Rattus norvegicus: one gene and its partner. The main gene of each other region encodes a partner of the protein of the gene in region 2 in a complex. Links are inferred from orthologs where the notes say so. Each region holds a gene or a part of one and is shown on either strand. Other genes may lie near its edges. The genes, in order: Csf3 and Csf3r.

Region 1 (4,280 bases), on a different chromosome or scaffold from region 2:
TGAGGGAAGGAAAGAGGTGGGGAGGGAGGCAGGGAGGAGACAGTTTTGTGGAGGGCAGTGATAGGTTAGCCTGAACCACAGGGGAGCCTGCAGCTGACCTTGAGCTGAAGTGTGCTTCCCTACTCTGCGGGGCTTCTTCAGCTCAGGAGTGAGCCAAGCACGAGATTGTGGGGAGATGGAGCTTGCTGAGGGAAAGCCATGCGACCCAGAACCCTAGTTCTGACCCAGTGGTCACATGAAGTAGGCTTTCTGTCTGTAATAGGCATGGTGTCAGTCTAAGGGAGGGTGCGGGGAGCTTTGCAGAGGGCTGCTGGTCATAGGTGGTGAAGAGACCAGGCCCCTGCACTTGTTCAGTATGCCCTGGCTGCAGCTCAGCCTGTCCCCAGCCCCAGGCCTCCTCTCTCCCACTGATTTATGATCCATCAACTTTTTTTTTCTTTCCCAAGAAGCTGTGGCTTCTTTGAGGCAGGGACACTGTGGGCACTTTTAGTGTCAGGTCCCAACGACATAGTTCAAGACTATACAGAGTGGCACCGAGAGAACTGGTCACCAGAACATGCTTCCTCTTCCCTGTACCTTCTCTATCTGGTCTCTCCTGCCACCCACCAGCCCCTGGCCAGGCATTAGCCAAACCCAAGAAGGAAAACATTTACTGGGCACACACACACTTTATTATCCGCAAGCTTGGTTACAGTGACAAGTGGGGTCGAGAGGGAGGGTAGACAGGTCAGCCTTCCTCTATGCCACGCACTCCCCACAGGATTCCTTGTGCCTTTTCCCTCCCACACTCCCAGTTCTAGGCCAGCAAGGCCCTAAAAAAGAATCCGGTCAATTCCAGGGCCAAACCTGGCCGCCACTGTTTCTTTAGGGACTTCATTCCTACGGGGTCAGGAAAACCTACAACCTGGTTGACCAGAGCAAGGGATGTAAGAACCCAGTTTGGGAACACTGCTGTTTAAATATTAAACAGGGATGTCTTGTCCCCCAGAAGGGAGACCAGATGCTGCCTGGGCCCCTGAGACAGGTGCCTCAGCACAGCAGGGCTCAATGTGATTTCTTGGGTACCACCACAGAATGGGGTGCCTGGAGCAGCGGCAGGAATCAATACTCGGTATTTACCTATCTCCTTCCCTGCCCTCCACAGGAGGACACAAGAGCCTTCTCTCTCTGCTCCAAGCAGGAGAACAAAACTCAGAAGTGGAGAGAAGGATCTAGAAGCTTAGAGCTCCATTTTCTCTTGTTTGTCTTTAAATAGTGGGCTTAAATACACATAAATATTAAATAGAGATAAATAAACTTTCTGGAAAGTGCTTTCTGCGCAGGCCTAGGCCAAGTGGTGCAGAGCGTGGTGAGCTGTCTCCAGGAAGCTCTGCAGGTATGAAGTGACCAGGACTCCTCCTGCCCGACGCTGGAAGGCAGAAGTGAAGATTGGCATGGTGCTCTGGGTGGGCTGCACAGTAGGGGCCACCCCGAGGCTTTCCATCTGTGGGGGAGGAGATGACGTCAGGGATCAGTCCTTCCTGCAGGCAAGGGAGTGCTGGGAAGGTGGTAAGCTAGCCTGTGGGGCTCATGAACAGCACAATCAAGACTCCAACCCAGTCTGTCTCTCAGCCTGAAGGAAGTGGGGCAGGGGGCGAGGGGTGTCTTCCCATACCCAGGCCTCTAGAAATAAGAGAGAGGCTCCAGGGTGCCCAGGCACGCTGCTGTGACCCCCTCCAGATGGTGCTCACCTGCTGCCAGATGGTGGTGGCAAAGTTGTCGACATCCAGGTGAAGCATATCCAAGGTGGGGGCCAGCTCAGAGGAAATGCCTGCTAGGGCCTGCAGGAGACCTTGGTAGAGGAAGAGCCCGCTGTGCAGTTGGCTCAGGCACTTTGTCTGGGGACAATAGGAGGGTTAGGGAGCAGGCCTTGGGATACCCCCTCTCTTCAGGAGACAAATACTAGGATGTGATCCCTTCTCTTCCTCCTGGTCCTCCTCCTAGTCCTCCTGATCCTCCTCTTCCTCTTCTTCCTCCTCCTGATCCTCCTCCTCCTCTTCCTCCTCCTCCTGGCCCTCCTCCTCTTCCTCCTGGTCCTCCTGATCCTCCTCTTCCTCTTCCTCCTCCTCCTGATCCTCCTCCTCCTCTTCCTCCTCCTGGCCCTCCTCTTCCTCCTGGTCCTCCTGGTCCTCCTCCTGACCCTCCTCCTCCTCCTTCTCTTCCTCCTCCTCTTCCTCCTCCTGGTCCTCCTCCTCTTCCTCCTCCTCCTCTTCCTCCTCCTCTTCCTCCTTCTCTTCTTCCTCCTCCTGTTCCTCCTTTTCCAAATACTCACCTGCTGCAAGGCCTGGCTGGAGCAGCTGCTCAGGGAAGCCTTGGGGATACCCAGAGAGTGGCCAAACAGCACCAGCTCCTCCGGATGACACAGCTTGTAGGTGGCACACTATAGATGGAAGGACACTGAGGGCTCTCACCTGGGCCAGGCTGTTCGTCCAGCTCTGGTCCTCCGATTTCTTCATCCACCTGACGTCTCAGTTCCCTACCTTCCTAGTGACCCTAAGGACAGTCTCATCCAGAAGTCCCACTGCTGTCTCTTTCTTCCCTGTCCCTTTTGTGCCCCATGTTATGTTTCCATCAGTATTCTGAGGGTGCGATCCAGGCTCTTGTGCACACTAGGCAAACACTGTCACTGCTGTGTGTCCCTAGCCTGCCCCCTCCCAAGTTCTTCCCTCCACACCTAGAGCAACCCCACTCACCAGCTGCTCCAGCAGTTCAGTGTTCCTGGCCTGAATCTTCCTCACTTGCTCCAAGGACTTAAGCAGAAAGCTTCGGGGCAAAGGCAGGGATGGTGGCAGAGAGCTGACGGTGAGCAGGGGAATGGCCTCTTGTCCTGACCATAGTGCACTGTGCCACAGCAGCAGCTGTAGGGCTGGAAGCAAACAGACGGGTCTGAGGCACTTGTTACTCCAGCCTCCCTCCGTTCCACACCCAGAGCAGGTAACCAGGGCACTCACCCATCAGCTTCATGCGTCCTTGAGCAGAAAGTTGAGCCATGAATTCTGGGTGATCTGGGCTACAGCTCTGGGCTCTGCCAGGGCCCAGTTCCAGGGGGCCTTTATACATAAACCCATCAAGGCCCCGGGAGGAAATTACCTGGGGCTGGGGCAACTCAGGCTTAGTAATAACTTCCCAGGATTTATGCAAATTTGTCTATCGCCCAGGACAATGCAGGGGGTTGGGGAAAAGCTGTTTGCGAAAGTTTTTATGAAATCGGGGAATCTCTGTTCCTTCCTTGACGTCTTGTCCCCCCCTCAAACTCTCTTCCTTTCTTCCAGCCACACCCAGGCCTGAGTTGCTGCAGGGTGTTTGATCTGAATTGTCCAACAAGGCTGAGCTGCTTTGGGTTCAGCAGGGAACTCAGACCCTGGGGAAGAGGCTGGCCCCGAGGTCAGGACTGCTCCTTCTCTCTATCCTCTGACAGACTTGCTTGGGTAGCCCCCTACCTGGGACAAACATTCAGAGAGAGAGAGAGAGAGAGAGAGAGAGAGAGAGAGAGAGAGAGAGAGAGAACCTGTTCTCATTTTGTACCCATAAGGCCGCTGCCTCCTGTAGTGCCAGGAGCCCTTCACAGCACCTAGGGTCTTGCTGTCTGCGCCCGCCCATTTGGATAAAAACAAAATGATCCAGCATTCAAGCCACTCTGTCCCAGGCTGATTAGCTGGGAACTCCCCAATACCCCCATTATGACTCATTTTTTTAAGCCCCTAGATCCTGGCAGAGAGGCTAGAGGAAACCGGATGTCTGTCTTGAATGAATCAAGACCCTTTGGGGCTCCTTGCTCACCTGACCCTGCCTTTCTATTTCCCGTCACAGATTACCTCGCTGTAGCGGAGCCAGTCGGGGGCATCTGGTGTCAGAGGCTGGCACATGTGGCGTCCTGATGCTCTCCTCATCACCCAGCAGTGGTGTGAGCTGGCTTGAGTAGAAGCAGGCTGGGGTGAGAACGGAGAAGCTGCACCTCCAGTCCTAGATATCTGTCCAGTGTTAGCTCTGGAACGGACCTGGGTGTTTTCAACCCTGTGAACTGGGTCAGAGAGGGAAATAAATGCCTTGCCCAATCATGGGTAGTAGGGTTGGAGGGACAACCCAGCCTCTGTCTCAGTCCCAACAGGGTTTTACTGCCTAAAAAGGAGGAAGGGATCCCTTGTCTGACTGGTGGCATCTCAGGCTGGTACTTTCTGAACTTTTTCACCCCCACCTTTTGGGCCAAGGAATATAGACATTTTTTGATGTTGAGGCATACC
Region 2 (3,807 bases):
TACACTTCCAGTCTTAATTCCTTGTTGAGGGAAGTCAGAGGGTACAGTCAAGGAGGAACAGAAGCAGAAACCATGGAGGGATGCTCCTTACTAACTAGCTCTTTGACCTGCTTTGGCTTTCTCATGCATACATACTCATATCCAACACCTAAGTAGGGATGGCGCTTCCCATAGTGGGCTGGGCCCTCCCACGTCAGTCAATTAAGATGATCTCTCATAAAAGTAATCACAGGCCAATATGATATGGGCAATTGCTGAGGTTCCTTAGACCAGGTGACTCTAGGTTCTGTCAAATTGATGGTGAAAACCAGCACACCAGTCAAAGATGGACTGAGAGAACTAAGCATACAGAGCTGTCCCTGACCTCCAGGCACTCCGGCATGTGTGCGTCCATTCACGTGTGCGTCCATTCACGCACATCATACAATGGCCAAACCAACAAAAACCAAACACAAAACCCCAAACCAAAAGCAAATATGGGGGTAGAGGTTGGAAGAGACAGGTAGCGATGGATGGACGGATAGACAGACAGACAGACAGACAGACAGACAGACAGACAGACAGACAGATAAAGATCCCTTCTAAGAGGGCATTCTGGGGCTGGAGAGATGGCTCAGTGGTTAAGAGCACTGACTGCTCTTCCAGAGATCCTGAGTTCAATTCCCAGCAACCACATGGTGGCTCACAACTATCTGTAATGAGATCTGATGCCCTCTTCTGAAGTGTTTGAAGAGAACTACAGTGTACTCACATATAAATAAAATAAATAAATCTTAAAAAAATTAGGGGGCACTCTGTTTGTTTGAGAGGGGGGTGGTCTCACCACATGGCTCAGGCTGTCCTCAAAATCACAATGCTACCTCATCAGAGTTGCTAAGGTCAGAGATAGATGCCACTTTGTCCAGAGCTCCCCACTCCAATCAGGATTTCATGTGAATTCAGTTTATGGCTCCCAGAGGCAGAGCCTAGCCTGGGTTTGAGTCGGTTCTATCTGCTTGAGAATCTTTGCTGTCTGATTTCTGCCACATCTGGTATTACACGACTTGGTATCTGGTTTCAGTCACTCACCCTCTGAATCATGTCAGGTACTTGGTTCAATTCTTTCAGCTGTGATCCTGGGTTTCTGTTGGGGCCATGGATTGATCTGTGAAACTCGCTTCATCCCTGATTCTCTCCCTGTCTATTACTCCATCTTCTGCCCAGCTTTGGGGAGCCCAGTGTAAGCCATGATGGAAAGCACCCACCTCAGAGGCCAGAAGTAAAAGAATACATTTATCCTCATACTCCCCAGTTGCTAGAGCCCAGATAGAGAGAGAGGAGAGGATTCTGGTAATACTGAGGGTAGACAAACCTTTCTCTCCAGAGTAGGTGTAGACATTTACAGGGGGTCCCACGGTGCCTGGGTACAGGGGAGCCACTGTGATTCTGTAGAGTTGAAAGGGATGTATATTGTCTGCAGAGAGAACAAGGGACAGCACTAAGGTTTGGGGGCTAACCTCTGCTACCCAGCCTCAGACTCTCATTTCTGCATGGCCTTATTTTGACTAATCTCAGAGATCTCTTTTAGCTCATTTGATGGAGGCTACAAAGGGAACATGGAACAGAGAGCTAGAACAGGAATGGAGTATGGGCTAGAGGAGGAAAAAAAGGCTGGGGAGACTGCCTCTATAGGGAGGTTCCAACTGTCCCTTGCTACCTCTAGACAAACACTCACTCTGTTTCTTTTTCCTATCTCTCAACCCATCCCTTTGTCCCAGGCCTGTCTCACCCTCTAACAGAATTCCAGTGGTGTTCCCATTGGGCTCTATCCTCCAGGAATTATTGCTGTATTTGTGGGAATCCGGGCCCCACTCAATGAGATAGCCCTGAGGCAGAAGGCTGGGGGCTTCCCAGTCTACCCAGATGCTACCAAGGTCTTGGGCCATGGCATGCAGGCTGGTCACAGCTGGACCTGGAGATAAAGAAAGACATAGGAGAGAAGATGAAAGGTACGCAGGCCTCAGGACTAGACCCTTGGATCCACATCCTGCCTTTGCCAACAGCTCTGTGATCCAGGGTATGTCAGTACCTGATCATCAAGCTCCTCACCTGTAATGTGGAAGTGACAATCAAAAAAATCCCCACTTTGTAGAGGCTTGTGTGTGTTAAAGGAGGGTGCCCAGAACAAGTCTAGCACAGAGCCTGGCACCATTTAGCTTAATATATGTGATTCACTGAGTTCTTCAACAGTCACACCAGGGAGGTTCCACGGTTGTCTCATTTTATCAATGAGTAAAAAAGGGAGATACAGAGAGGCTGAAAGGCTTATTAAAGACCACACAGCTCCGGGACTGGAGAGATGGTTCAGTGGTTAAGAGCGCTGGCTGCTCTGCCAGAGGTCCTGAGTTCAAATCCCAGCACCACATGGTGGATCACAACCATCCGTAATGAGATCTGACTCCTCCTTCTGATGTACCAGAAGACAGAGCGCTCATCTACATAAAATACATGAACAAATTTTTAAAAAGGCACACACGGCTCAGGGCTGGGGAGAGATAAATTAATTGGCAGAGTGTTTATGAGGCAAGCACTGAATTCGGTCCCCAGTTTCCACATGGAAACAACAGCAAATGAAACAGTGTGTGGCATTTATAACCCAGCACAGGGGAGGTAGAGACAGTGAATTTCAGACCAGTGGGAGAGCCTGTCTCCAAAAAAAAAAGTACACAGCACCCAAAAATGACATTTGAGGTTGTCTGCCAGCTGCTATATTCATATACACACAACTTGTAAGCAGGAATCATAGTTTGTCTGTCTGTCCGTCCATCCATCCATCCATCTATCCATATACACAACATGTCTATGCAGGTATATATATTGGTATGTATATTCTCCCAGACTAACCTAGTTCTGGCTAACAATGTTAGTGCATACACCTGCAGGTTCTGGAGACAACGGGCCAGGAAGGGCAGTCACCTGTCCCGGCCACTCTGTTAGCAAGTGGTTGACTGGACAGATAAGGGCATAGGCAGTCCTGCCTTCGAGTTCCCATGCTGCTCTCGGCTGCTCAGCTCCTCTTTACCTTCGTGCTCCAGGAAAACCACCAGAGTAGGGGAGGAGGTCCCCGCCGAGTTGTAGGCCACAAGGGTCACGTTCTGGGCCTCTGAGGGCAGGTGGAAGGTGCAGCTGAGCTCTGTGGTGTTACAGAGGTGCATGATCCGCCCTTGCCCATCTGGGCAACTCCAGGAGAGCAGGTAGCCCTGGATCTGTCCACTGTCTTTCTGCAGGGGTGTTGGCTGTGGTGGGTGAGGAAGAAGATGGTGAGGGAGTTGTCTAGTTCATGGTGAATTGGTCAGTACCTGAGGGCCAGGGACCAGTCATAAGAACTGGGCCATAAGACATCCCCCACCTCCCTCTCTTCCCCTGTGGGAAGATCTAGGAGACAAAGAAGAAGACAGTCAGCACAGGTGACCCTAGAACCCTGTATTGCAGTCTCTCCCCGAGGCTTCTGAAGTATGTGTAACGTGCTTCCAAACTGCCTCCCAGGCACACTGCAGTTTTGAGCCCTACTTTGGGGCTCTCTTAGGAGGGTTGGAAGGGGTTTCAGAGAATCACCTTCCAGAACAGCTGCATTCTCACTGTCTCAGGATCCAGATGCTTCTTCTGCCACCATGTGTCCAGTCTGATGGTGGGGGCTGTAGATGGATGGGGGAGGATATAGATGGATAGATGAGATGAGAGGTTTTTTTTTTTCTTCTTCTTCTTTTTTTTCTTTTCTTTTTTTCTGAGCTGGGGACCGAACCCAGGGCCTTGCGCTTGCTAGGCAAG

The links.
Region 1: the proteins of Csf3r (region 2) and Csf3 are in contact, whole or in part, in a crystal structure (PDB 2D9Q), measured with the Homo sapiens proteins. The link is inferred for Rattus norvegicus from reciprocal best matches to the Homo sapiens genes CSF3R and CSF3. Residues at the interface, in NP_000751.1 of Homo sapiens: Arg164, Arg190, Lys191, Leu193, Leu194, Leu195, Tyr196, Gln197, Asp220, Met222, His261, Ile262, Asn263, Arg311, Pro313, Leu314; in NP_000750.1 of Homo sapiens: Ser42, Leu45, Lys46, Glu49, Gln50, Arg52, Lys53, Leu141, Asp142, Asp145, Thr148, Thr149, Gln152.

What each region holds. Positions count from the first base shown.
Region 1 is NC_086028.1:84,156,229-84,160,508, reverse strand, and holds Csf3 (granulocyte colony-stimulating factor precursor), read right to left. Parts: upstream 3,025-4,280; 5' UTR 3,004-3,024; coding exon 2,991-3,003; intron 2,906-2,990; coding exon 2,733-2,905; intron 2,420-2,732; coding exon 2,312-2,419; intron 1,878-2,311; coding exon 1,731-1,877; intron 1,484-1,730; coding exon 1,325-1,483; 3' UTR 649-1,324; downstream 1-648. UniProt on the Homo sapiens protein: Granulocyte/macrophage colony-stimulating factors are cytokines that act in hematopoiesis by controlling the production, differentiation, and function of 2 related white cell populations of the blood, the granulocytes and the monocytes-macrophages.
Region 2 is NC_086023.1:143,593,129-143,596,935, reverse strand, and holds part of Csf3r (granulocyte colony-stimulating factor receptor precursor), read right to left. Parts: intron 3,675-3,807; coding exon 3,595-3,674; intron 3,276-3,594; coding exon 3,062-3,275; intron 1,952-3,061; coding exon 1,769-1,951; intron 1,454-1,768; coding exon 1,352-1,453; intron 1-1,351. UniProt on the Homo sapiens protein: Receptor for granulocyte colony-stimulating factor (CSF3), essential for granulocytic maturation. Plays a crucial role in the proliferation, differentiation and survival of cells along the neutrophilic lineage.